7 linked regions of the Mus musculus genome follow. Each later gene encodes a partner of the first gene's protein in a complex. Links are inferred from orthologs where the notes say so. Each region holds a gene or a part of one and is shown in the gene's direction. Other genes may lie near its edges.

The links.
Region 2: Taf5 (region 1) and Tbp share a complex: the UniProt entries of both Homo sapiens proteins name them as parts of the TFIID basal transcription factor complex. The link is inferred for Mus musculus from reciprocal best matches to the Homo sapiens genes TAF5 and TBP.
Region 3: Taf5 (region 1) and Tada2b share a complex: the UniProt entries of both Homo sapiens proteins name them as parts of the TFTC-HAT complex. The link is inferred for Mus musculus from reciprocal best matches to the Homo sapiens genes TAF5 and TADA2B.
Region 4: Taf5 (region 1) and Taf9 share a complex: the UniProt entries of both Homo sapiens proteins name them as parts of the TFIID basal transcription factor complex. The link is inferred for Mus musculus from reciprocal best matches to the Homo sapiens genes TAF5 and TAF9.
Region 5: Taf5 (region 1) and Tada3 share a complex: the UniProt entries of both Homo sapiens proteins name them as parts of the TFTC-HAT complex. The link is inferred for Mus musculus from reciprocal best matches to the Homo sapiens genes TAF5 and TADA3.
Region 6: Taf5 (region 1) and Kat2a share a complex: the UniProt entries of both Homo sapiens proteins name them as parts of the TFTC-HAT complex. The link is inferred for Mus musculus from reciprocal best matches to the Homo sapiens genes TAF5 and KAT2A.
Region 7: Taf5 (region 1) and Taf13 share a complex: the UniProt entries of both Homo sapiens proteins name them as parts of the TFIID basal transcription factor complex. The link is inferred for Mus musculus from reciprocal best matches to the Homo sapiens genes TAF5 and TAF13.

The regions. Positions count from the first base shown.
Region 1 is NC_000085.6:47,080,864-47,083,979, forward strand, and holds the end of Taf5 (transcription initiation factor TFIID subunit 5), read left to right. Parts: intron 1-945; coding exon 946-1,123; intron 1,124-1,280; coding exon 1,281-1,458; intron 1,459-1,563; coding exon 1,564-1,781; 3' UTR 1,782-2,616; downstream 2,617-3,116. UniProt on the Homo sapiens protein: The TFIID basal transcription factor complex plays a major role in the initiation of RNA polymerase II (Pol II)-dependent transcription.
Region 2 is NC_000083.6:15,513,388-15,516,887, forward strand, and holds part of Tbp (TATA-box-binding protein), read left to right. Parts: intron 1-142; coding exon 143-234; intron 235-842; coding exon 843-1,010; intron 1,011-2,228; coding exon 2,229-2,323; intron 2,324-3,316; coding exon 3,317-3,396; 3' UTR 3,397-3,500. UniProt on the Homo sapiens protein: The TFIID basal transcription factor complex plays a major role in the initiation of RNA polymerase II (Pol II)-dependent transcription.
Region 3 is NC_000071.6:36,481,486-36,485,589, reverse strand, and holds the start of Tada2b (transcriptional adapter 2-beta), read left to right. Parts: upstream 1-1,304; 5' UTR 1,305-1,532; coding exon 1,533-1,802; intron 1,803-2,500; exon of another isoform or gene 2,501-2,582; coding exon of another isoform or gene 2,583-2,612; intron 2,613-4,104. Other genes in the region: Ccdc96 (coiled-coil domain-containing protein 96), read right to left, coding at 1-938. UniProt on the Homo sapiens protein: Coactivates PAX5-dependent transcription together with either SMARCA4 or GCN5L2.
Region 4 is NC_000079.6:100,649,866-100,654,142, forward strand, and holds the start of Taf9 (transcription initiation factor TFIID subunit 9), read left to right. Parts: upstream 1-1,477; 5' UTR 1,478-1,552; coding exon of another isoform or gene 1,553-1,580; intron 1,581-1,741; exon of another isoform or gene 1,742-1,852; intron 1,853-4,277. Other genes in the region: Ak6 (adenylate kinase isoenzyme 6), read left to right, coding at 1,553-1,580. UniProt on the Homo sapiens protein: The TFIID basal transcription factor complex plays a major role in the initiation of RNA polymerase II (Pol II)-dependent transcription.
Region 5 is NC_000072.6:113,375,039-113,379,058, reverse strand, and holds the start of Tada3 (transcriptional adapter 3), read left to right. Parts: upstream 1-1,220; 5' UTR 1,221-1,743; intron 1,744-2,113; 5' UTR 2,114-2,161; coding exon 2,162-2,167; intron 2,168-2,994; coding exon 2,995-3,219; intron 3,220-3,799; coding exon 3,800-4,020. Other genes in the region: Arpc4 (actin-related protein 2/3 complex subunit 4), read right to left, coding at 851-853. UniProt on the Homo sapiens protein: Functions as a component of the PCAF complex. The PCAF complex is capable of efficiently acetylating histones in a nucleosomal context. The PCAF complex could be considered as the human version of the yeast SAGA complex.
Region 6 is NC_000077.6:100,709,668-100,713,643, reverse strand, and holds the start of Kat2a (histone acetyltransferase KAT2A), read left to right. Parts: upstream 1-1,176; 5' UTR 1,177-1,239; coding exon 1,240-1,563; intron 1,564-1,707; coding exon 1,708-1,831; intron 1,832-2,165; coding exon 2,166-2,311; intron 2,312-2,414; coding exon 2,415-2,504; intron 2,505-2,740; coding exon 2,741-2,922; intron 2,923-3,007; coding exon 3,008-3,199; exon of another isoform or gene 3,200-3,394; intron 3,395-3,976. UniProt on the Homo sapiens protein: Protein lysine acyltransferase that can act as a acetyltransferase, glutaryltransferase, succinyltransferase or malonyltransferase, depending on the context.
Region 7 is NC_000069.6:108,570,481-108,574,498, forward strand, and holds the start of Taf13 (transcription initiation factor TFIID subunit 13), read left to right. Parts: upstream 1-1,218; 5' UTR 1,219-1,241; coding exon 1,242-1,268; intron 1,269-2,399; coding exon 2,400-2,478; intron 2,479-4,018. UniProt on the Homo sapiens protein: The TFIID basal transcription factor complex plays a major role in the initiation of RNA polymerase II (Pol II)-dependent transcription.

The DNA.
Region 1 (3,116 bases):
TCTCCCTCTATTGTCTACACCAAGGGCCCTGCTTCTACTATGAATACCTTTGTCTTCTGTTATTCTAAAGTCCCCTTTGATGTAATTTTTGCTAGAAATCATGTGGTTGCCAAAACTATAGGAAAATGGTTTTCTGTTCATTAGGAGTGGGAAGGTGGGTATAAAAGAACTTATACAAGAGTTTACATGCCGGTGGAGAAAAGGCTCAGCAGTTGAGTCCTGACTGATTTCCCAGAGGACCCAGGTTCAATTCCTAGCACATAAGTGGCAGCTCACAACTGACTGTAACTCTAGTTCCTGAGGATCCGACACCCTTACACAGACACGCGCCTAGGCAAAACACTAATGCATATAAAATTAAAATAAATCATTTAAGCCAGGCAGTTGTCAGTACACTCCTTTAATCCCAGTACTTGAGAGGCAGAATCAGGTAGCTCTCTGAATTTTGAGGCCATTTTGTTCTACAGAGTAAGTTCCAGGATATCTAGGGCTACACCCATGTCTCAAAACACACACACACACACCCCAAAAACCAAAAGAAAGCTAATCTCTATGTCTGTAATCCCAGCATTTGGGAACTGGGCATGGTGGCACATGCCTTTAGTTCTAGCACTTGGAAGGCTAAGGTAGAGGGATCTCAAGGCTAGCCAGATCTAACAGTTAATTCCAGGACAGCTACAAAGTGAGACTCTGTCTTAAACAAAATAATCACAAAAAAACCAAACCCAAATGTACCAGTACTCTGGGATATGGAGACAGGATAGTGAGTTCAAAGCTAGCTTGGGCTACATGAGACATCATCTCAGGAAAAAAAAAAAAGTTAGTCCCAGTTATCTTTCCTTCAGTTAGATAGCAATTTCAGTTAGAGGAACCATTTGGAATTGATCTTCACCTGGAAATACCTCTCTTTTGGGTTAAATTTTATTAAATTATTTTTATTTTCAGGCTTTGGGCTACCGATCACTATCAGCCTTTGAGGATATTTGCTGGCCATCTTGCTGATGTGAATTGCACTAGATTTCATCCAAATTCGAACTATGTTGCTACGGGCTCTGCAGACAGAACTGTGCGGCTCTGGGATGTCCTCAATGGTAACTGTGTAAGAATCTTCACTGGGCACAAGGTATGTCACACCTTCATTATTCCAGCACACAGATGCTTCCAAAGTTGAAATACTTAACCAGGAGCATAAACAGTTTAAAAATAATGGTCATGCTATTAAACTACAATTCTACCTCAGTCTTATCAGATAGATTTAACCCTACTTTGCTCGTTTCTAGGGACCAATTCATTCCTTGACATTTTCTCCCAATGGGAGATTCCTGGCTACAGGAGCAACAGATGGCAGAGTACTTCTTTGGGATATTGGACACGGCTTGATGGTTGGAGAATTAAAAGGCCACACTGATACAGTGTGTTCACTTAGGTTTAGTAGAGATGGTGAAATTTTGGCATCAGGTAAGTTATTTCATGGCTGTGGGGTAAAGAAACCACAGTAAACACAAGTATCCATGGGGAGTTGTGACAGCGGCACACTGATGGCTTCCTTTGGCTTCCTTTTAGGTTCAATGGATAATACAGTCCGGTTATGGGACGCCGTCAAAGCGTTTGAAGACTTAGAGACTGATGACTTTACTACAGCCACCGGGCATATAAACCTACCTGAGAATTCCCAGGAGTTGTTATTGGGTACATATATGACCAAATCAACACCAGTTGTACACCTACATTTTACAAGAAGAAACTTGGTTCTAGCTGCAGGAGCTTACAGTCCGCAATAAGCCAACGGTATTAGAGACCTTTTGGAAGCTACTGTTTGGAAAAGGGAGACTAAAAGCAAATACCTCAGTGATTAGTATTTAAGCTACAAAGAATGTTTTTGTCTACATGGATCTGGAAGTATGCTGCTTGGAAAATCTGAACAAGACAGTTCCACGTTTCTATAGCAACCACATTTAACTAATTTCCGTTAGTTGAATAAGAGGTATTATGTTCGTGGAGGGGACATTTATGGTGCTTTGGATTGTGTGGAAACTATGCATTTTTTTTTTGTTGTTCAAATGCTATTTTAATTTATTGTGTTTAGAAAAAAATCAATTTGATTTAAACAATTCATTCTGCTTCAAGATTCAAGTTAAGAAATATAGTACCACCTTGAGTAGCTGAAGAGTTCTATGAACGTGTGTGTGCTGTAATGAGGTTATTGTACGGCACTCAAGCAGCGTGTTCAGTGACCCACTAACATGCTTCCCTTCACCCACCATTAGTGGACTGTATGGAACTGAGTAGGGACCACACTTCCTAAGTCTACATGTACAGCCATCCACCAACATCTCAGTTCCTACCATGTAAGTTTGGCGTGCAATCAAACACTTACAAAGCAGGTGAGGAGATTTAGATTCCACACTCTACTTCAGCTAACATGGCTACATATGACCTAGTACACTTGAAGTCAGACAGACATTTCAGTTGCTTACCTCCAATACTGAGCCTTGCTTTGGAAAACTAAGAGATTCAGACCAAGTCACTGCCAGTTTTTGCCTTTGTTGCATTTTGTACAGTTTTATATTTTTGATATCTTGTAAATAAAGACAACCAGCTTTTCCAGGTTCATAATTTATTGTACAAATTGAGTATTACATGATGAGTTCACATCAGCTTCTTCAGGCATGGGACTTAACAGGTGAGGTCAGACATTTCAAAATCCTATAAACAAAGCAAAAACAGTTTGATTTAAATGTGTTCTACTGACAATCAGTAATCACCACAAATTCCCCAAAGTAAAATGTACATTCACTAGGTTCTCAAAAGTCAGTAGGACATATGTAACAATATATGTGTGTGTGTGTGTGTGTGTGTATACACAGCTCCTTCAGGTTGCCATAGTTTAACGTTCCAGCTTTAACAATTGAAGTAGCTGTTGAAACTGCCAATAGTTCAGTATAGCCTTAAAAGCAAAACTACTGGAAAAACCTAAGTATACAAAGTAACACTTAAAATGTTTGTTAATTTTATGTGTGAGAGTTCTGCCTGCACGTGTGTGCATGTACCACCTGTGTGACATCAGAAGAAGGTTAGCAGATCCACTAGAACGGTTGTGAACCAACATGGGTGCT
Region 2 (3,500 bases), on another chromosome or scaffold:
GGTAAGAATATCTGATGTAGCAAAGATAGTCTGACCTGGGACCTACAGCACCACAGCTCTGTTTCCTCAGTCATCATGAAGACAGCTTTTCTTTTTACCCTTTCGTTCACACCTTTTTAATGCCTCTTTCTGACCATTTTAGCGATTTGCTGCAGTCATCATGAGAATAAGAGAGCCACGGACAACTGCGTTGATTTTCAGTTCTGGAAAAATGGTGTGCACAGGAGCCAAGAGGTATCCTTAAGGAATGCTTTGTTTCTAGTGGGTGTATTATGAAAGAAAAAAGGCTCTAGCGTCCTTCTGTTATCAGGCTAGCACTTTTCATGTTATTTTTGAATGGTTTGCTCTGATTACTCTGCATAGCTTTGGTGCCCCACACTGTTACTCCTGATCTCCTGGGCTCTGGTTGTAGCACTGCCATTCGCATTCTGATATTCAAATGAAAACTCTTGAGTTGGAAAATCATAGCTTTATCCAATAGTGGTGTCCTAAAAATGGATAGAGATTTGATGTAAAGGAAGATAGAATTTGTATTTCCCAATAATACATTTTACTAATTTTTTTTATAAAGATGAAGTTTTCATTTCAGTAGAGATTTATAGGTCATAATGAGGTGATGACGGTGGCCATGCTAATTGAACCACACACTACATCGAGTCCTTTAAATCTGAGGGCTTGACAGTAATGTGCCACATAGAAGGCTTATGTTTTGGTAGGTTTATGGTTTCTGTTGAGGACACGGAGATAGTTTAATTACTTTCCTAATTTAGACTCTGTTTGTTATTCATCTAAATTACTCTATTAGGCTTCCATATATAACTCACTGATTTTCCTTTCTGTAGTGAAGAACAATCCAGACTAGCAGCAAGAAAATATGCTAGAGTTGTGCAGAAGTTGGGCTTCCCAGCTAAGTTCTTAGACTTCAAGATCCAGAACATGGTGGGGAGCTGTGATGTGAAGTTCCCTATAAGGCTGGAAGGCCTTGTGCTGACCCACCAGCAGTTCAGTAGGTAGGTCTAAGTAGTATGGGGAGTAGTTTTCCAACAGTCCATTTATAACCCACTCAGGCATCATTTCAGATGACGTACATATAAGATGTGCAGTTTCTAAGCATGTATGACATAACTGCAAGTTAAGTTAAGGTATTGCTACATTTGAGCTACTGCACTCTCCACTGTCTTTACAATCCCTATTTCCTTAGTCACATGACACCCAGACTCTCTCACTGGAATGATTTAGCTCACCTCTGTATGTATGCCTCACCATTTTGTTAGTCAGTAAGTAGATGTAAATACATGAATTTGTAGTTTCTTCTATCACTTTTCTCCTAGTTTGAATCTTTTTTTGTCAGCATACCAACACAGTGTAAAGATGAGCAGCAGAGGTAGACTGCCCAGTATTATTTCTTGCCTTTCTCTGCCTGAATATTGGTGGAGCATCCCTACTCACATCCTTATAACATCTGTTTTCTCTTTGCAGCCACACCACTGAGCTTACCAGTTCTCTCGTACTCACCAGGTTCCTCTTGCTCCATGGCCTCTGCACATGTCACTTTTAACCCTGACATATTGGGTACAATTTTCATCATAGAAACTCCTGTTTGAGTTTCAGGAATTCACTCATGTTGTCTTCCTCATATAGACCTGTCCTGAGTTTATCTCTGGATCACTCACAAGAAAGGCAGATCCTTTTGTAGACTGAACTAAGAAACCTGAAATCGCTGTGTTAGAGTATGTTAACTAATGTCCGTTCGAATAGATGGTATGACCAGGGAGTCGGTTCATGGCCAAGCTCATGTCTGGTTTCTCACTCTAGTTAAGGCACCTGTTAGAAAAGCAGGCATCTCCAGGAGAGTTCTGTTCAGGAAGGTGAGATGATTACAGGGCTGACTGCCACTCTTAGCTTAGGAGTGAATGGTGAGATTTTGATAAGGTGCTATAACTAGACTAGCTTTAACTGCATCTAAATAAGGCTCAGACCGTGTGTATACAACTCTTGTTTTTATCACAGAACCTCTAGAGTCTGAAGATAGCATTAAGTGATAGGAGGACATGTAGCTAGTAGTTGGTGGCTATGTCCATGACTCATGGCTCCTGGCTGGTTTCTTCCTGTGTGTCCTACTTGTGACACCTGGATTCTTTACTCAGGACTTTCTGGCACAAAGCCTCTTGTATTCAGAAACACAAAGAACTGGTGATTTCTAAACTGTATTCCCATTTTCTTTCTAGCTATGAGCCAGAATTATTTCCTGGATTAATCTACAGAATGATCAAACCCAGAATTGTTCTCCTTATTTTTGTTTCTGGAAAAGTTGTATTAACAGGTAAGTTGAAAGGAAGTGGATGAAACTGCAAAGGATGTTGGGGTGGCATTTTCTGTGTTAGAACAGTTGTCTAGCCATGTGTAAGGATGCTTTTTAAGTTTTGCACACCATTCTAACCTTCTTGAGAAGGGTAGAAGAATGAGAAGAACTGCAGAGGCCTGCTGCTGATGTAGCCGTCAGCTAGATTAAGCTTGACTGTGGGAGCAGGCAGGGATGGGACACTGACTGTTTTCAGTTGGCCCTTGCACCTTGGGGGTTAGTAGAGTATGATTACAAGACTGAGAAGAGCTCAATTGAATACCAACAGTTGGGAGAATAAGATTTCAGTCCTCAGTGCTTGTCAGATACCATGTCACTCAGGTCCAAGTATGGGAAGGAACTAGAGTAGGAAGTAGATATTGTCTTGCTGACTTGTGGATCCTGATCTCAGACCAACTATATAGTGAGGAAATGATGGTCTAGGGTGTTTAAAAGTCGCTAAGTGTATCACTTTTTTTTTTTTTTAAAGATTTATTTATTTATTATATGTAAGTACACTGTAGCTGTCTTCAGACACTCCAGAAGAGGGCGTCAGATCTTGTTACAGATGGTTGTGAGCCACCATGTGGTTGCTGGGATTTGAACTCCGGACCTTCGGAAGAGCAGTCGGGTGCTCTTACCCACTGAGCCATCTCACCAGCCCGTGTATCACTTTTTAAAACACTTAGAAAATACTGTTCTAAAAACATAGCTGGAGAGCTAGCTGGGCATGGCCCTTAATCCTAGTAATTCATAGGCAGAGGCATGGTCTATGCAAGTTCCAGGAGAGCCAGAGCTACATAGAGAAACCCTGTCTCAAAAAAAGGGGGTAGAATAGTGGGTACAGCTAGGATGGTGATAAGGGGATTCCACCATTTGTTTGTCTTAACTAGGTATAGAGAGAACTGTATTTATGTTTTAAGGTAATGATGCTACTTCTTAACCATCTCATTTCTGTTCCATGTGTCTTTGTAGGTGCTAAAGTTAGAGCAGAGATTTATGAAGCATTTGAAAACATCTACCCCATCTTAAAGGGATTCAGGAAGACCACATAGTTGTCTGCCATGTTCTCCTGCCTTCCCTATCCACGTGTTTTTTAAAACCAGTCAGTTTTGGTACCACTGATGGTACAGTTGGTGAGGACACTCAGTTACAGGTG
Region 3 (4,104 bases), on another chromosome or scaffold:
TATGCTTGCTCTTTCTCGGGAGATTCGGGTTCAGCGCTCTTGTCCCCAGGTTCCGCCGCTGCTTCCAGCCCCTTCTTGCGTAGGGTCTCGTGAATCTTCTGCTGTAGGTACATGTTGTAGCGCTGATAACGGTTCCGCTCCACTAGCAGGGAGTGGTACTGTTCCACCAGCTCGCCGCGCAGTTGCTGCTCTTGCAGCTTCTGCATGTCCGCTGTCCACTCAAACTCTTCAGTGGACGCCCCTTTTTGTTTCTCCTCTTCCTTGGCCTCTCCAGGGTGAAGTTGCTCTTCTGTGCTTTTGTGTCGTTCTCGATCTGTCCCCTCGATCTCTTCACTGTCTCTCTTCTTCAGTGACTCCCTTGCTTTCTCTTTCGCAGCTTGTGGGCCTGGGGCAGCCCCCTCCTCAACAATTGTGGTCAGCGGTAGAGATGGCCGGAACCGTGACTCCTTCCTCTTCTCCCTCTTCCCCTTGCCCTTCGGCTTCTCTGGCCTGTCCCGTTCCTCTCCCTCATCCTCATCCTCATCCTCATCCTCGTCCTCGTCCTCGTCCTCATCCTCGTCCTCATCCTCGTCTTCGTCTTTGTCCTCTGGTTCCTTGGACTCCGGCTTGGTCTTGGGCTGGGTCTGTGGCAGACTCTCTGGCTCTCGGGACACGGCCTCGCCCGCGGTCTCAGCGGCCCCCGGACTTTCCGGGACCTCAACATGCGCGTAATCGATCCCCTCCGAATCCTTCGCTTTTGAGCTGTCCGACACCGGCTGGGTCTCGCTCTCAGGCTCCCGCCCTTGCGTCGGCTCCGGCTCTGGCTTCGGCTCTGGCTCCTGCTCTACAGGGTTGGCCGGAGTCAGAGGTTCGGAGCTAACCTTGATCTCGAGCGACTGCCTGGCCAGGCCTTCCTCGGCTCGGTCTTTGCCCTCGATGTCCCCGTAGTGGCTGTCCATTTTCGACCCGCCGGCCCCGCTCTGAGGCCGGCTGATGCCTGCTGTTAGGTTTCCCGGGGCAACCAGGGCGCGCGGTGGGCCCCGCGATTGGTCACCCGCCTTCCATTTCTCTCCACCTCCCGGCAATATTAGGCCAATGAAGATCTGCGAACAGGTGAAGGGAGGCGCTAATTGGACGCTGGTTCCCGAGAGGCGTGGCCCGCACGGCCTACTTCCGGTCCGCGCCCCGCCGGCTGACAGGCTTAGGGCGGGGCCTCGCGGCTCCTCCAGTCCATGAGGCCGCGGGAGGCGCCGGCGCGCAGGCGCAGAGCAAAGACTCGGCTGTCCGCGAGAGGGCGCGCGGGGGGCGCCTGCGCGATGCGGCGGGGAGACAGCGGCTGCGGCGGCGGCGGCCGGGCCGGGCCGGAGGGCGCCTGCGTGCTGAGGCGGGACGCGGCCCGCCTGGCCGGCTCCGGCGGCGCCTGGGCGGGGGCGGCCGTGGCAGCGGCCGGCAGCGGCACGGGCGCGGCGGGCGCAGCGAGCCCGGCAGGCGGCGGGGCGCTGACGGCCGGGGGCGCGGCGGCTGCGGGCCGGGCGGCGGGCGAGCGGGGGAAGATGGCGGAGCTGGGTAAGAAGTACTGCGTGTACTGCTTGGCCGAGGTGAGCCCGCTGCGCTTCCGCTGCACAGAGTGCCAGGACATCGAGCTGTGCCCCGAGTGCTTCTCGGCCGGCGCGGAGATCGGCCACCACCGCCGCTACCACGGCTACCAGCTGGTAGACGGCGGACGATTCACACTCTGGGGTCCTGAGGCGGAGGGCGGCTGGACCAGCCGCGAGGAGCAGCTGCTGCTGGACGCCATCGAGCAGTTCGGCTTCGGCAACTGGGTGAGCGGCGGGCTACGGCTAGAAGGGAGGGCATGGCTGGCTGGCTCGGTGTACGTTGCGGAGGGCCGCAGGTGGTCGGATGGTTGTGTCCGGAACGTGTTGGTCACCAGCGGTCACACAGCTGGTAGAGCAGGGCCTTGACCCATTGCCCCGACACGGAGCTGTCTGCCCTTCACACTCGTCCTCAAGAGGTGTGCATTGAACGCGGGTAGAGGGTAGGCCCTGTGCGTTGCCAGGCTTATCCTTGAGTCAGATGGCAGCAAGCTAGATCCCACTGTCCTTTGCTGAGTTCCCCTAGTACGGTTGTGTTCTCCTGGGCATAGTGGTGGGGAAGGCCAGAAGCCTGGGGCTGCCCGTCCCGCCTGCACTTAGTCTGCATTCAGGGCTTCGTGTGCTTTCTGTGGGTGTCAGCATGTGCCCTGTGCTAAGGTTCTCAATGAGTAGCAGTATCTTGTTTAAGTCTTAGTCTCCACAGCACCCAGGACATGGTGTGATGGGTGGACAGTAAAGAATGAACAAAGGCGTGTTCCTGAAGAGGCATGGATCCTGGGGTCTGCTTTCTAGCTGTCAGGTTTCTGTAGAGGTAGCTCACTGGTAGTAAGAGCCTTCATGTGTGCCAGCCAGATAGTGTGCTGGGCTCCTGGTTGTTCTCTGGCTGTCTCTAAGGAGCTCTCCTTTCTATTCCTCACCTATGTTAGGGATGAGATCTGGCTGCATTGTCACCATTGCCTCCAAGAATATGTCACATCTTCAAGCTTTCAGAGAAGCAGGGAGCTCGGCATGACCCTCTCCTGTCCAGACTCTTCCCTGGTATGTTAGGGCCCTCTGACCCTAGCTTCCCCGAGCTTCCCCTACTCCAACCCTACTGCCCTCCTGTTTCAGATCGTCGTAGAATGAGTGACCTTCTGGACCCACTTCCCCACTTAGGAAGGAGTCTACTCCACAGATGTCTTACCAGTGAGCAACACTGGCTCCTGCTCTCTAAAAACAATGGGTTACTTTGTCTCTAAGTGGTGTTTATTGGTGTGTATTGCGCATATGCTTTGTACAGATCAGGCAACATGAAGGACCTTGAAGAAGAGCCTCAGTGCTGAAAGTGTGGCATTCATATGCTCTGTTTCTGGAGCTTGTCGCATACCTGGTGATCCCTCTCTACCTGATTGCCTGTGAAGACTCACTTGTCCTCAGTTATACACAGAGCCAACCTAAAGCCATCAACCACATCCAATTGGTCAGTGGTCATGTATTGAAAAGATGTGCATAATGTAGCTACTGACCTACTCTTCTGGCCTGACCCATGATGGTGCTTACCTCTCGTGATCACTTCTCATGGTTTTACCGTTCTCTTCCTTCTGTTCTGTAACCCTTCTCACACATGAACATAGGGCATTTGGAGCATAAGCCGCATCTTGTTGGCCCTCAGCAACTTCAGTTCTGCTTCTTAGATTACACTCCAGTGCCTGCAGGGCCTGACAATGTCTATGGCTCTCTGTGAGCTCACGCGGAGTCCATTGATCATTTCCTTTCTTCTGCCTGAGGTGTTCTCACCTCAGTCAAGACTACTGACTGATCTCTGGCCTGCGTGTCACTGCTTCTGAGAGCCTTTCTTTCCTCACACCAGTCCTCTAGCACTTATTTCCAGAGGAGACACTGAAAAGAGTGAGAGTGTTAGTCTCAGCACTGCGCTTGCTTTAGCTCTTGAAATCTGGGCTGTATTTAGGGAACCCTGCAGAAGAATATAAGAGCCAGAGGTCAGGAGGACACCAGGAGAACAAGGCCCTCTAAATGAGCTGAGCAAAGCTCCGATGAACTCAGATGAACAGAGGCTGAAGCAGCAAGCACAGGGCCAGCATGGGTCTGGGCCAGCATGGGGCGGCACCACGTCCTCTATGTATATAGTTTTCTTTTCAGTTTAGTATTTTTATGGGACTTGCAAGTGTGAACGAGTGGGTCTCTGATTCTTATGCCCTTTCACTTGCTTCTGTTGGTTTGTCTTGTCCAACTTCAGTGTTTTGGCTTTGTTCTATCTTACTTTGTTAAAAAGGAAATGCAAGCCCGGTCTGTAGAGTCTGTAGTGTAGCTCAGCTAGTGTTTGTGCCCATTTGTGCAGCGCAGTCAGAAGCCCAGCACTCAGGAACTAAAACACGGAAAATGTGGATGAACAGACAGGCTGGGGAAGGCCTCTTCTGAAGCAGCTCTTTCAGGCTTGAAGGCCAGAGGAGCTTGTTCAGGGGGCAGGTTCTCATGAGGCCCAGTCTCAGCGCTGGAAGAAGTAAAGACCAAGGGGAAGAGCCTTGGGGCT
Region 4 (4,277 bases), on another chromosome or scaffold:
GAAATAAGGGCTCAAATAAAGATGTTAAAATCTTAAAGTAAATTTTAAATGATTACAATTTAATCAGATAATCTATCTATGATGGTATAATATAAATAAAAGCTGTTCATAAAAACTCAATGATGGGGCTGGAGAGATGGCTCAGCGGTTAAGAACACTCACTGACTGCTCTTCCGAAGGTTCTGAGTTCAAATCCCAGCAACCACATGGTGGCTCACAACCATCTGTAACAAGATCTGACACCCTCTTCTGGAGTGTCTAAAGACAGCTACAGTGTACTTACATATAATAAATAAATAAATCTTAAAAAAAAAAACTCAACGATGAATGAAACAGAAAAACCATATATTTGTGCACTTACCTTTTATTATAAAGAAAAACTAATCCCATATAAACATTTTTATTTTTATGCTGAAAATTGTATTTCATGTCATGCTACCAAGTACTGTGGATTTACAATTTAAGGGGGAAAAAATGAAATGAGACTCATTAGTCACTTTGGATAAATGTATATATTGGAAGGTGCACCCATCTATTTTAGAGTTGTAGGTACACACAAGCCCACACGCTGAAAACTTTGGCACCCAATAAAACAAATCATCTTCTCCTATCTAATTTAGGATTATGGCCTGACCTTTCAAAGGGACACAAAAACGTCTGCTTAAGAAATTATAGTTGTCGAAATGAAAGATGCTCAATGATCAGGGCTCTTTGAAAACAAGACTGACAGTCACCTCCTTCGATAAACAAACAACCGTCTCTGATGATATCAGGCTCGGGAAACGCGCCGGAGATAACGAGAACTTCAACACTACCCCTAGCCTATCCACCTCCACCTCACACACTGCACAGGGGACAGGGACACAAAGCTCACACGTCAGTCCTTAGGTGTTTCTGCAATCACCAGTGAGCGGAGCTGACACCTCGCACCATGGCTCCAGGCCAGGGCTCCTCACCTACATCCTACACCAGTCCAGACTGGAGGGCGGGCCGGGAAGGACACAGCCCAGGTATGCGTGAAGACACAGCTGACCTCACGCCTCTGGGATATTAATAAATCAAGCGGAAGCCGCGGCGTCCTTACTTTCCGGGAGCTGCGTCCCCTCGCGGGCGGAAAAAAGCGGAGAACCGGGGCTGTACTTCGCCACCCAGCCCTCCCGGCTCAGCCGCAGGCTGTTGGAGGGCCCGCCTCCTGGGGACCTTCCTCACGGACGGCGCTTCCGCGACGCAGCCAGAGGGGAGGGGCCGGCAAGCGAGCAAGGGACGTAGGCGTCCAGCGCACTGCCTGACCCGAAACGCAGGCGGGTCTCGGGGCCCGGCTTCCCACCATTAGATGGAAGCGTAGGACCCGAGGCCAGCGGAGTTCCTGGTGCGTGCCGAGGTAGGGTCTGAGTGCGTGCGAGCCCGGCGGAGGGCCTCGAGGGAACCTAGCCGCGTACAGGCGCACGAGACCGCCCCTCCGCACGCACGCCCGCCCTTTCCGGTTCCTCCCTGGCAAGCGCGTCGGGGCGGGCGCGTGAGCGGAGGCTTTGGCTGCAGGGGAAGGAGGACTATGAAGCTTCCGAATATCCTGCTCACCGGTTAGGGCGCGCAACGGGGTCGGGTCGGGCCGGGCCGGGGTTTGCCGAGGGCTGTGAGGTCCCGGGGGCGCTCCGCAGGCCGCGCGGCGTGCCGTGTCGGCTGGCGCGTCAGGACCCGGCGCTCGCGACCGTTGGGGTGGGGGGCGGGGGAAGCGGCGGAGGCGGCGGTTCGGTTGGTCAGACGCCGCGCCGAGGAGAGGGAGAGCGGCAGGCCGGCTCCTGCTCTCCCGCTGCCCCGTCGCTCCGCCGGACGCTTGGCCTTTGTCAATCTGGTATCTTTGCCTGGAGAACGGGCTGCTGAGCCTTTGTCGCGGTCGGGCTTGGGGTTTTTAAAAATCGAGGTGCGGTGAGGCAGTTTTTAGCCGTTAGGAGATGTGGTGATGGTGGGTACCCCAGTCTTTGGGCCTTCTTGGTCGTCACCTTCTTATTTTATTTTTTATTTTTAGATACCCCTTTGCTTTTGAGAAACACTTCCCGAAAGGTTTCTGTAGATGATTTTTGGGATGCTTGTGAAGAGACGTGACTAATGAACTGTTACTTTGTTCGGTTCGCGCCACGGGCTTTGTTGTTGTTTCAGTGTTAAGGTTTCTGAGCGTTTGTGGTGATCTGGAGCTGATCGTGGGTGGGACGTTTCGGAGCTTTAATAAGAAAGGTTAAGTTGTAGCGTTTAGTAGCGTCATAGGCCAGTTGTACAAAGATGGGATGGATATAGATAAAGATGCCATCACTTTACTGAAAAAAGTTCAGCTGCTGTTTTGTCAGGTAACGAATCAGGTGAGGTTGTTGTCTGTCTTAGCTCTGCAGGCTTTAGCTTTGAGATTCCTTAGGAACATTTTACAATATCTGATTTGCATGGCCAGACAGTTTCTTGGGGCTTTCAGATTCTGAAGCCAGTAGGCTGCAGAGAATGCTGTAGATCAGTTGGTAGACTACTCACTAGTAGGCAGGAAGCCCTGGAATCAGGTCCCCAGAACAACATAGACTAGATGGGGTGGCATATGTCTGTTATTCCAATACTAGGGAGGATGAGAAGTCAAAGGCCAACCTAGAACCGTGCCGGTTGGCGGGAGGGGGGAAAGCAGTGGGGAGGGACGGACAAGAGTTACATCATAAGAACTCTGTAGATCTGAATGGGAGTGTTGAATACAGAAAGGGTTCACGAGCGCTGAGTAAGAGTTGGGATTGATGTGTTCTTACAGTGGAAGTATATTTTTTTTGACTATAGAGACATGATTTTTCAGGATTTCTTACAATGTTCAAGTTGACATAAGTTTGAACATTATGCATTTGATTGTCTTAAGGGTATTAGCTATAAGCAGGGCAGTGGTGGCACAAGCCTTTAATCCCAGCACTTGGGAGGCAGAGGCAGGCGGATTTCTGAGTTCGAGGCCAGCCTGGTCTACAGAGTGAGTTCCAGGACAGTCAGGGCTACACAGAGAAACCCTGTCTCGAAAAAAAACAAAAACAGGGGGAAGTGGAGGGTATTAGCTGTAAAAGGAGAAAAGCAAACTATGTATAGTGTCATTTATAAGGGTATCTATGCTGTGTGGATATATACAGTGTGTATGTATACACTTACTTAAATACACACCAAGTATCCCTTAGATACACACAAACACATAGAAAGTTAAGTAAGAAACTGGTTTAAAGTAGCTCCCTCTGGGGAAGGTATTTCTGTTAGGGGAAATGGTAGTAATGGTATTGCTCATACTAAACTTTTTTTCCATTGAATTTTTTTTTTTAAGATTTATTTATTATATGTAAGTACACTGTAGCTGTCTTCAGACACCCCAGAAGAGGGCATCAGATCTTATTAAGGATGGTTGTGAGCCACCATGTGGTTGCTGGGATTTGAACTCACGACCTTTGGAAGAGCAGTTGGTGCTCTCAACTGCTGAGCCATCTCTCCAGCCCCATTGAATGTTTTTTTGGGGGGTGGGGGTTTGTTTGGTTTTTTTGTTTGTTTGTTTGTTTTGGTTTTGGTTTGGTTTGGTTTTGGTTTTTCGAGACAGGGTTTCTCTGTGTAGCCCTGGCTGTCCTGGAACTCACTCTGTAGACCAGGATGGCCTCGAACTCAGAAATCCACCTGCCTCTGCCTCCCCAGTGCTGGGATTAAAGGCGTGCGCCACCATGCCCGGCCCATTGAATGTTTTTTAAGCTTTTTATTAACGCAATAAGTGATAATAGTGTATTTGAGGTGCCTAATTTTTTTGTTTTGTTTTTTTGTTTGTTTGTTTTTTTAAGACCGGGTTTCTCTGTATAGCTCAAGCTGTCTTGGAACTTACTTTGTAGACCAGGCTGGCCTTGAACTCAGAAATCCGCCTGCCTCTGCCTCCCGAGTGCTGTGATTAAAGGCATGGGCCACCACGCCCGGCAAGGTGTCTAATTTTATGCTGGGAATTTTGTTGTTGGCAGGCAGAATTGGCATCAAAATTGCTGCAGTCCTATCCCTGGAGATTAGGATATAGACACTAGTAGACAGTAATTTCTGGAGAATTTTTTGGTTGGTTGGTTTGGTTTGGTTTTGAGATAGGGCTTTCCTATGTGGCCCTGGCTGTCCTGACACTGTGTAGCCTAGTCTGGTCTTGAAGCCCCAGAGACTCTCACCTGCCTCTGCCCCAAGTGCTGGGATTAAAGACGTACACCACCATACCAGGCTTTATATCAGTTAAGAACCTTAAGGGCAGAAGATGGCTG
Region 5 (4,020 bases), on another chromosome or scaffold:
AGTCAAAACTCAGTCAGCAGGAAATGGCTTTCACGCTAAGGAATGAAACCAGTTAGGACTAACACTGGAGCAAGCTTTAAAAAGTGACTTTTGAAAAAGAGGGTCTAATTTCAAAGTCTCTTCCCTGAGAGCATTCCCGGGCGTGCAACAAGCAGTCCAGCCTTTAGAACTCAGGTCGTCAAGGGCTGACCAGAGAAAGTAGTGGGAAGCCTGGGACCTTTCGGAGAACAACTGCACGGAGCACCCACAGATCCCAAACCCGAGCATGAAAGAGGAGGACCAGCGGCCATCAACATTTACACACGTTAAGGTCAACACGGTTCTGCACATCTAGGAAGGAGTCTGAATGCAGGCAAGCAACACAGAACCTTCATTGGGAGCTGGAAGGCAAGGCTTCCAGGAAGCGCCAAGAAGTAAGAAGATGAAGTGGACACTTGCCTCGAGGTCCCGTGAGACCGCGAAGGCAGGCAGGGACAGGGGGTTGTACTTAGCCAACCTCTACCGTGGACGGAGAGGAGGCCCCGCAGAGCGGTCCTACCTCAGCTGCAAGCCACCACCACGGGCTTCGCAGCCCGGTCTCCTGCCCCCTCCGAACATCGGGGAGAGGTCATTCTAGCCCGGGATTCCCAACCTGGAAGCTTCCGGGCCTGCTCTTGCTCAGAGAGCCTCCTGGCTCGCCCCTTCCTCCTCGCCTCGGCCCTCGCCCCACCCTTTGCCTCTCCATCCTCCCCGTGCCTCCTCATCCCGGGGCAACCTCGGGCCGCAAGCCCTAGCGGCAAGCAGCATCTCCCCCAGACCCACAGCCTCTACAGGCAAAACACAGGGAGGACCCCAACCCCTGGTCTCTCACCATCGCGGGCGCTGTCTGGGCCGGAAAGCGGAAGTGCGGAAGTGCCCGGACCCGCGACGCCTGCCCTTTCGAGAGAGGCGCAGCCGCAGTCTCCGACAGCACTTCCGGGCTGGACCATCTCGGGTAGGACCGGGGAGGGAGAGCCGAGAGATATTCAGATCTCCGGGGCGATTTCACACTGGGACCTCTGGGACTTGTAGAAGACCTGCTATGAGACAGTAGCGGTCGAGTCCCCTTGGATCGCTACACATATTCCGCCAGCGCCTTTAGTGCTTGTCGCTTTGGTTGTAGCCTCCCCCCGTGTGACAATAGTACAGCCCGACCTCAGGTTGGGCACCAAATTAGGACAGGCCGAACCGGAGAAACGTTTCTTCCGGTGGTGCTCCCCTATCCTCTCCGGGCTCCTCCCATTTGCAACCGTAGGGTTCGGCCGGGTAGCCAGTCCCTTGAGATTTGGGCTCTGGGCCCCACCCCAGCCCCGGGCTGCTTCCTAGCCCGGGACTCCTCAGGCCTAGCATTCCACCTCCCGGAGATTCGTAGGTGGCCTTAGACCCCCACCCCCACCCCGGCCCTACAGGCCACCTTGGGCTGGCCGTCCCCGCCCTCGCGTCAACTGCAGGGGGCCCGCCCATAGCCAGTTCCGGAGCAGTTGCTCCGATCGCCCTGAACTCCCCGCCCCCTCCTGCGGCCCAGGGCCTGTAGGAGGCCGCAGAGAGGAGGTAGGAGAGGCGGGGGTTGTGTTAGGGGCTCCCTAGAGGACGAGGACCCTGGAGGCGGGATCTTGGGGCGACACACAGGTGGAGCCAGCCATTAAGCAGTCCCACTTCTGTGCCAGGCACTGAACTGGGCACTTGACGAGCATCACCTCTTAATCCTCAGAACATTCCAGGGAGGTAGGTAATTCTCGATGCCCCCATTTTACAGATTTATACTTCTTAATGGGGAAATAGACTGAGGCATCATCTTTTGTCCTGGAAAAAAGAAAAACAAACAAACAAACAAACAAAAACCGGAGATTCAGGTTAAATAACATGTTTAGAAACGCACATAAGAAAATGGGCTGGAACTTAGTTCTGTTCACCTGACCAGCCTGTGTTCCAAACTAGCCAGGGACACAGAGAAGGTGCAGAGGTGGAATGGAGTGAGACAAGAGGAGGCAGGGAGAACCCTGTCAAATAGAATGCTAGAAACGACCCAACGTAGGGAAACAGAGGACATAGGAAGACAGGGCACACTAGTATCTCCTCTTCCTTAATGCTGCAGATTCCAGACTTCTGCGGTTCAAATTGCAACTAGGAGGCCGGCCTAATCATGCAGGTTTGTACACCTAGTGACTTGGGAGGCTAAAGCAGGTGGATCATAAGTTCAAGGCCTGGAATTCATGAAAGGGGGGGGGGGCTGGATGTAACTGTAACATAATTAAGTTTGGAGAATTTGTGCCTAGAATGAACAAGCGCTTGTATAAATCAGGTGTGGTACATGCCTAAAATTCCATCTCTTGGGAGGTGGAGACAAAACCTTGGCTACATAGCTAGTTTGAGACCAACCTGAGTGCATATCTTTATCCCAGCACTCAGAGGCAGGTGCTTTCTGGGGTGGGGGTCGGGAGGGGGAGCTCTATGAATCCTGATCTATGTAGCAAATGAGTATCAGGCCACTCAAGACTACATAATGAGATTTTTGTCTCCCCCACCCCAAAATGGGGGTGAGGTAGGGTCTGGAGATGTGTGAGACCCTTCAGTGCTACCAAAACAAAAAAAGACAATAAATTGCAGTTAGGAGTCTAGGCATGTGTACATACTCTTCTGGAGTCTTTTTCCTTTCTTTGTCAAAAGAAAGAAACCAGGCAGTGGTGGCACACGCCTTTAATCCCAGTAGAGGCAGGTGATCTCTGAATTGAAGGCCAGCCTGGTCTATAGAGTTCATTCCAGGCCAGCCAGAGTTGTTATACAGAGAAATTATGTTGAATGAATGAATGAATGAATGAATGAATGAAAAGCATGGCAAAAGGCCCCCCTTTTAAGGTTATGTGCATAATTCAGTGAAGTCAACCTAGCTTGGGGTACAGTCAGGGCTCTGTTGGGTCTCTCTCCCCATGCTACTTTGTCTCCTATCCAATGGCCTTCTCCCCTCTAATTTTACAGGGTCCCACCTCCTGGGCCATGAGCGAGCTGAAGGACTGTCCACTGCAGTTTCATGACTTCAAGTCTGTGGACCACCTGAAGGTCTGTCCCCGCTACACGGCAGTGCTGGCCCGCTCCGAGGACGATGGCATTGGCATTGAGGAGCTGGACACCCTGCAGCTGGAGCTTGAGACTCTGCTGTCCTCTGCAAGCCGGAGACTGCGTGTACTGGAAGCTGAAACCCAGGTGATTGTCCATGGGGGGCATCCACTAGAGACATTGTGTCAAGTTATGGGATGGATCCTTAGGTTCCCTCTCTGCTGAGGCCCAGGGATGGATGGGAAGAGAGACCCACATGGGAATCATGACAGAATAGTTAGCTCTCAGTTCAGCTTACCGTTAGCCAAGGATGCTATCCGACTGTAGGTGGACACCGCCCACGTGTGGCCCCTGAAGTTGCCTGGGAACTTTCTGAGATGCACTGTGATACAGTCAGTTGCATAGACAGAACCACCGGGTGCCTTGGAGTGTGACATAAAGGTTAGCTGGGAGTCTTGTTCACCACCACCAAAAAACCCAGCAGCAGCAGATTTCCCCAGGACTACCATGCCAAACCGTTTGTGACTAGCTTGGGCGGCAGCAGAAGTGAATCAGAATGTAGACCTCCGGTTAAATTCATGTGAGAAAATCACAGAGAAGAACAGGCATTTTGAAATATGAGTAGTTTGCTTAATAACCTCAAATTCTAGATCTCAGTTATCCATGGCGGGGAAAGAAGTGCCCTGTCTCTTCTCTCCGTCTCAGGGGTTGTCTTTGTGTGTTTCAGATCCTTACTGACTGGCAGGATAAGAAAGGGGACCGACGATTCCTGAAGCTAGGTCGCGACCACGAGCTCGGTGCTCCCCCCAAACACGGAAAGCCCAAGAAGCAGAAACTGGAAGGGAAGACAGGACATGGGCCAGGCCCTGGCCCGGGACGACCCAAATCCAAAAACGTCCAACCCAAGATCCAGGAATATGAATTTACTGATGACCCAATCGACGTGCC
Region 6 (3,976 bases), on another chromosome or scaffold:
GTCTGGCTTGCTCTGCCCTGCCCTGCCCTGCCGGCCCTGCCCTACCCTGCCCTTTTAAGAATCGGGCCTGGGGCAAGGAAAATTGTTCTCTGGACTGAGCCAAAAGAGGGGGCCTTTCTGATCTTCCAGGAAGAACTATCCCTGACCTTTCACAGTCTACCTCTACAATGGGAAGAAACTGTCTATTTCTCTGGCTTTCCTCCACCCCCACCCCCCCATTAAGGAGTGGGCAGGGAAAAAGATGGAGGTAGGATGGAAGGGTATGAGGTCAGGAATCCTCTCCATCTTCAAAGCTGCCTAGGCGAGCCAGAAGAGGGGACCACCCCCTACCCTCCGCATCTTCAGTGTTGGTCTCTCTGGTTCTTTAGTTCTCAGCACACACAAACACACTCCCCCCCCCCTTTCCTGCCCACTCCCAACACACACACACACACACACACACGAATGCCCGTGCATGAACACACACATTCAACAGCAGCATGGCCCACAACTATGTCTCTTTGTTCTTTTGAAAATAAAACCGTTTCTGTTTAACAGCAACCCAAGTATAGAAAAAGCTGATTGTCACTGGGCAGTGATGGCGCATGCCTTTAATCCCAGCACTTGGGAAGCAGAGCCAGGCGGATTTCTGAGTTCGAGGTCAGCCTGGTCTACAGAATGAGTTCCAGGACAGCCAGGGCTTCACAGAGAAACCCTGTCTCAAAAAACAAAATAAAACAAAACAAAACAAAACCCAAAAACTGATTGTCAAAGTTAATTCATAAGTGTGAACACCACAGTACAAATAGTAGAATTAATGTTACATTTTATCTCTATTGTAGCTGCAAGCCTTAGCCGGCAGCCACAATAGGGCAGGCTTTTGCAATGTGGGAGCCAACCTCAGGCCCAGGCCTGTTCTTCCACCTATGGACTTTAAAAGGGCAGCATCCACAAATCCTCCAGACGGCCAGTGTTCTGGGGTGCCTCTTGTTCCCAAGAGGATAGTAATTGTCACTATCTCGGATGGCTTAAAAAAGATTAGAATGAAGTAATGGTCAAATCTAGGATGCTCAACCAAGCGACATTTGGTTGTCTGGAACCAAGAAAAAAAAAAGTATGGAAGGCCAAAGGATGGGAAGCGGCAAAGGAAGACTACGACTCCCATCGTGCGCCGGGGCCGTGACGCCTGCGCACTGTGCGCCGGTTGCCCATGCGGCCCTAGGGCTGGGAGCGCGGCGCCGCTCCGCTGCGGGGGAGGCCATGGCGGAACCTTCCCAGGCCCCAAACCCGGTCCCGGCAGCGCAGCCCCGGCCCCTTCACTCCCCAGCCCCTGCCCCAACTTCGACTCCTGCGCCCAGTCCGGCTTCAGCCTCCACTCCGGCTCCGACTCCGGCACCAGCCCCTGCCCCAGCTGCAGCCCCAGCTGGGAGCACAGGGAGTGGGGGCGCCGGGGTAGGAAGTGGGGGGGATCCGGCTCGACCTGGCCTGAGCCAGCAGCAGCGCGCTAGCCAGAGGAAGGCGCAAGTCCGGGGTCTGCCGCGTGCCAAGAAGCTTGAGAAACTAGGGGTCTTCTCAGCTTGCAAGGTGGGGGCGGGGCCTAGAGCAAAAGGGGCGGGGCTTGGGGCATCCAAGGTCTGGGGTAGGAATGGGGGGCGAAGCTCTAGCCATAGAGCCGCTCTTGCGCTTGGGATGCAGACAGCATCAGGGAACTGAACCTTCCCCCTCCAGGCCAATGAAACCTGCAAGTGTAATGGCTGGAAAAACCCCAAGCCCCCCACCGCACCCCGCATGGACCTCCAGCAGCCAGCTGCCAACCTGAGCGAGTTGTGCCGTAGCTGTGAGCACCCTTTGGGTAAGGCAGGCACCACCTTTGGAGCTGGGGCGGAGGGCAGGAGCCAGGTCCTGTTTGAACAGGGTGACATAAGTACCACAGAGCTTCTTGGAGACCTTCTAAGGAAATATTGGGTAGGGAATAAATGTGAATGTCCCATGGAAGGAAAAAAGGAGATCTGCCTTGGTAGCAGGTAGCTACCAAGGGCTGATGGGAGAACTGAGAACACTGGGTCTCCCTGTCTGTCAAGAATTGGAGAATCAAGGGTGTGTCACTGGCTAGTTAGAGGAGGTACAGGAATCAAGCCCCGTGGAGCTCTTCTGTTCTTCCCAGCCCTAATGTAACCATCTTGCAGCGGACCATGTGTCCCACCTGGAGAATGTGTCAGAGGACGAGATTAACCGGCTCTTGGGAATGGTAGTAGATGTAGAAAATCTGTTCATGTCTGTTCACAAGGAAGAGGACACAGACACCAAACAAGTCTATTTCTACCTCTTCAAGGTGAGTTCTCATGGAGTAAAGATGGTGAAGCTTTGGTGTGTGTTGGGGATCCTGCTCTCTGAGCTCTGCTACTCCTGTTTCTGCCCATCCCTCTTCCTTACAGCTCTTGCGGAAGTGCATTCTGCAGATGACACGGCCAGTGGTGGAGGGGTCTCTAGGCAGCCCCCCATTTGAGAAGCCTAACATTGAACAGGTAGGGCGGGCATGTAGCAAGATTAAAGGCGACTTAAGAGGGTGGAGAGTCTGGTTTATTTCCTCAAGCTGAGAACAGGGGAGAGGTTCAAGGAAGGGACATGGTGTTTGCTGACCTCAGAGTGGGTGTGGAAGTTGGAAGGGTCAGAGGTTCTCTTCACAGAATCCCTCCTATTTGACATGCCTCTGTTGGCTGTCCACACCTCCTCCTGATTTTGTCCCCTCCTTACTCCTCAGGGTGTACTGAACTTTGTGCAGTACAAATTTAGCCACCTGGCCCCCCGAGAGCGCCAGACAATGTTTGAGCTCTCAAAGATGTTCCTGCTCTGCCTTAACTACTGGAAGCTGGAGACCCCTGCTCAATTCCGGCAGCGGTCCCAGTCTGAGGATGTCGCTACCTACAAAGTCAATTATACCAGGTAAGCCCAGACAGGGCCTTACAGGGGAGGCTTGAACAGCCAGTCTGGCGGTCTCCACCCTCACCTGCCGCTCCACCTCCCCCAGATGGCTCTGTTACTGCCACGTGCCCCAGAGCTGCGACAGCCTCCCCCGCTACGAGACCACCCACGTGTTTGGCCGAAGCCTTCTACGGTCCATTTTCACTGTCACCCGCCGGCAGCTACTGGAAAAATTTCGGGTGGAAAAGGACAAACTGGTGCCTGAGAAGAGGACCCTCATCCTCACTCACTTCCCCAAGTAAGGCTCAGTCTGGCCTCCTGGGATTTTACCCCAAATTCATGTCCTTGCTGTTGTCCCCTTTTTTCCAGGAAGGCTTCCTGGATTGGTCCCTCCTCTCCCTCCATGGGCCTTCTGGGATCTGGGTGTCTACCTGGCAGATTTGCCCATGGCCCAGAAGCTACTTGCTAGTATGTGCTAGTCTGGGGATGGCAGGTACATGGCCCAAGCTAACGCTACCCTCTTTCAGCCCCCTGATAGATAGTTACTAATTAGTTTCCTCTGGGTGTGTGGATATCACCCCAGAGCCCCTCCTACCACAGTGCTCTGAGAAGTCTAGAGTTTACTTTTTTTGTTTGTTTATTTGTTTTTTCCAGACAGGGTTTCTCTGTGTAGCCTTGGCTGTCCGGGAACTCACTTTGTAGACCAGGCTGGCCTTGAACTCAGAAATCCGCCTGCCTCTGCCTCCCAAGTGCTGGGATTAAAGGCATGCGCCACCACGCCTGGCTTAGAGTTTACTTTTGAAGTGAAGCCATTACCTATCTCTGTGCCTCTGTTGTTCCACATCTTCTTCCCATTTGAATCTGGGAACAAGCATGTGGGAACAAGAGGTGACAAGATTGGCTCATTCTAGACCAGTCTGATAGAGAGGGGACTAAGGCAATTCAGGTGACTGGGTGGGTGCCCTGCCTAGCCACACAGCATAGGATGGCATCCGCTCAGACCCGTTCTCCTTGGCCACACATCATGACAAAATTGGGTCTCCAGTCTCTATCCTGGCTATGTCCTATCCTGAGC
Region 7 (4,018 bases), on another chromosome or scaffold:
CTGGGACAAAAAGCATGGACCACCACTGCCGAGCTTTGGTTTTCTTGTTTTGACTATGTAGCCCTGGCTGGCCTCTAACTCAAAGAGATCTTCTGGCTTCTGCCTCCCAAGGCAGGGATTAAAGGCGAGTGCCACTACACTTAGCTCTTTCATAATTTTAAAATATTTTCTTATTATTGTGTATGGAAGCCAGAGGACAACCTTGCAGACTCTGTCTTCTCACCTTTCACTTTTTATACAGGTCCCAGGGATTGAACCTGAGCCTTAGGCTTATTCCGCTAGAGCTTTTATTGACTGAACCATTTCTCTAGCACATCTTTTGTAATTTAAAAAAAAAAAAAAGAAGAAGAAGCAAAAAACGGCCGGGCAGTGGTGGCGCACGCCTTTAGTCCCACCACTTGGGAGGCAGAGGCAAGCGGATTTCTGAGAACGAGGCCGGCCTGATCTACAGAGTGAGTTCCAGGATAGCCAGGGCTACACAGAGATACCCTGTCTTGAAAAAACCAAAAAAAAAAAAAAAAAAAAGCGCAAAACAACCTTCCAACCCAAACTACATATATATATTGCGTATTAACGGAGGCAGGAAAGATTGCTCCGTGGTTAAGAGTATTGGCTGCTTTTCAAGAGACTTGAGTTTGATTCCTAGCCCCTATATAGCGGTTCACAATCGTCTATCTCTAGTTCCAGGAAATCGGTTGCTCTATTTTGGCTTCTTTGGTGCTGCACACACATGGTACACATACTTGCCGGCAAAACACCTATTTACATAAAAGAAAGTAGATATATAATTATATAATAATATAGATACTATATATAATATCATGGGGCTTGTGTACTTGAGTGGATCAGCCCCAGAGGCAAAAAGTCATCCTATTTTTACAGGCATTTGTGAGCCTCCGTAAGTATGCACAAATTTATCACTTATGTTTTCTGAGACATGGGCTCATGAAACTTGAGCTGATCTCGAACTCGAAGCCCTCTTGCCTCTGCCTGCCAAGTGCAGAGATTTCCCGGCGTAGTATACCACGCCTGGCTTCTTTGTAATTTTTAATTCCTCCTTCAGGATTCCACACGTAAGAGCACGTCACTGACTTCCAGCCAATCCCAAGGCCGGGGTTGGGTAGGAGAATGAACGCGCACGCCTCTCTGCGCAACGCTGGCCAGGCCGGAAGTGACGTACGTATCTTATAAAACTCGCCAGCCGCCGGTGGGCGGGTTCAGAAGGCTGGCGAGCAGCTAGCATGGCAGATGAGGAGGAAGACCCCACCGTGAGTGAGCGCCTGTCTCAGCCTGGTTCCTCACTCCTTTCGGATCACTAGCGGAGGCAGAGTCTGACCCGCTTGTGCCTTAGGGATTCCCGCCGAGAGTCCGGGGGCTCCGCGGTGTTTTCCTTTTTTGGTTTACCTTAGTCAGTGCGTGGGACAAGACGGGAAGGAAGAGTAGAAAGGGTCTCTCTTTGACCTGGATCTTCCCGACACTAAGACATCTAGAGGGTCATAGGAGATCAAAGCTGATTAAAGCGGAACCAGCAGCCCAGATGCTGACAAAACTAGTGAAGATAGCGGAGAAACGATGAACTAAAGACAGGAAGCTTGGGATCCAAATTCTCCTTTGGCATCGGTTTTCTTGTGAGGTAGAGTCCAGCCCAGTTAAGGAAAGTTCTTAGCCCTTTATCAGTTGCTTCCGATGACAGCAGAGAGTAGATTTTAAACTACCAGGTTTTTACAGTAGTCTTGCTTAGCAGTGTGACAACTAAATTGGCTAAAACCAAACCCAGAACCTGAGGTCGTTAGAACTTTACACACGCACGGTTGTAAGGTTGTTAGCAGCCGTAATAAAAGCCTTCTTGCACGACTTGAGAATTGGACTAGGGCTTATGAGCCCTTTGGTGCTAAATTTTCGTGGTTTTGTGCAGTTTGCTTTAGCTTCTCACTTTCGAAAATGAAAAAGGGTCACTGGGCGTGGTGGCGCACACCTTTAATCCCAGCACTCAGGAGCAGAGGCAAGCGGATCTCCGTGAGTTCAGGCAGACACGGGCACATAGTGAGACCACTTTGTCTCAAAAAAAAAAAAAAAAAAAGTGTAGAGAGATAGCTTTAGTGCTTAGGAGCATTTGCTGTCACATCTGGCAACCTACAGCGATTAGACCTAGTTTGGCCTCTATGGGCAACAGCAGGCACATTTATGTAGGCACACAATACACATAAATAATAAATGCCTTTAAAAAAAAAGATGAAAAGAGTGCAGGAGGTGTAGCTCAGTGGTCAAGCATCTGTTTAGCATCGTGAGCTCGTGGGTTCAATTCACAGCACTCCACAAAGAGGGCGAGCAGGAGGAGACTCGAGGGAATATCACGTGCACTGCAATCATTTGCCATGTCCGTGTTTTAAAATTTCTAGTTTGAGGAGGAGAATGAAGAAATTGGAGGAGGAGCGGAAGGTGGCCAGGGGAAGAGAAAGAGACTTTTCTCGAAAGAATGTAAGTTGTACTTTCTAGTGTTTTTATTACAGGTGGTGAAAGCTTTTGAACATGTCTTTTCAGAGTATATTGTTCTGCATATGTTTGTTTATAGGGACAGTGTTCTCAGAGTTGCCTATAAGGTTGCCTGTTTTTATTCTTGGTGTTTGTTTGTTTGTTTGTTTGTTTTAAAGATAGGCTCTGTATAGCCAAGGCTATACTGGTGCTTACTGTTTAGCCCATGCTAGCCTTGGTTTGGTGGTAGTCCTGCTTTAGCCTCTCAAGTCCTGGGATTGCAGGTGTGCATCCCATGGTCAGTATAAGTCTCTCTCATGTCTACTAATTCTCTCTGTGTGACATAAAATAATGAATGTGATCACCTCTGCCCTCCTCCTTGAGGCAGGGTTTTTTTGTTTTGTTTGTTTTTGTTTTTCTTTTCCTTTTTTGAGGCTTGGTTTTTCTGTGTAGCCCTGGCTGTCCTAGAACTCTTTCTGGAGTTTAGAATAGATCAAGATCTGCTAGTCTTGAACTCACAGAGATGTGCCTGCCTGCCTCTGCCTCCTGGGTGCTGGGATTAAAGCTGTGAACCACCACCACCCAGCTGAGGCAGGGTTTTTAGATCCCAGCATGATTTCAAACTTGGTATGCATATGCGTATAACCTTGAACTTGCAAGAACCTTGCAAGAACCTTGAACTTCTGCTCTCCTATCTGTTTCCCTGGCTCTAGATGTACAGGCATATGCCATGGCTCCCAGTTGACATTTTGAACGTTGTATCCCTCTTGTGTCCACCTTTCAAATGATGTAAGTTGAGGCTTTGGACTAAGGCATAGCTCAGGGCAAGAAGGTGGTGAAGTGTGCTGTGGAGATGACAGTGCACTAGCCTTCCATGGTGCTCCTTAAACAGACAGGTAGCCCTTGGGGCAGCGCAGGGTGAGCGGTGTCCACTTGTTGTGCCCATACTAATTCCTGAAAGGCCCATGAGACTGCACTCTCCATCCCTTCTCCCAGGCTCCTTGGCTGAGCCTTGGGAAGTACAGCGGCAGAGATTTATAAATGCCTGAGTACAGTAGGATTGAAAAATTCTAGAAACTGCAAGATCAGCCTTTAACTCTCTAAATCTTTTTTGATCCCAGCTCTTGGGAGAGATAGGGATGGGAGAATTTGAGTTCAGGGTCTTCCTCATTGAGTTTGAAGGCAACTTCGGCTGTATCTTACAACCATAACAGAAATCCTCACTAGTACCTTCCAGTTTCGTTCAAGTCTGACCACTTCCCATTCTGTCTCACTGATGCTAGTTACGTGATTTGTGTGTGGTTTTACTCCTTATGTGGACATATGAAAACGACCCTTACACTAAAGTGCTCTAGGAATGGTATTCACCCTGCTGCTTGTCCAAACCTTTAGTTCAGTTTCAACTGCTCTACTTTTGTGATGACAAAAATTTGGAATCTTCGCAGGCTTCTCCCACTGACTTAATAGAATCTTCATGTCTCTTCTATTTTTGCTGGGGTTTTTTTTGTTTGTTTGTTTTGTTTTTGTTTTTTGTTTTGGACAGGGT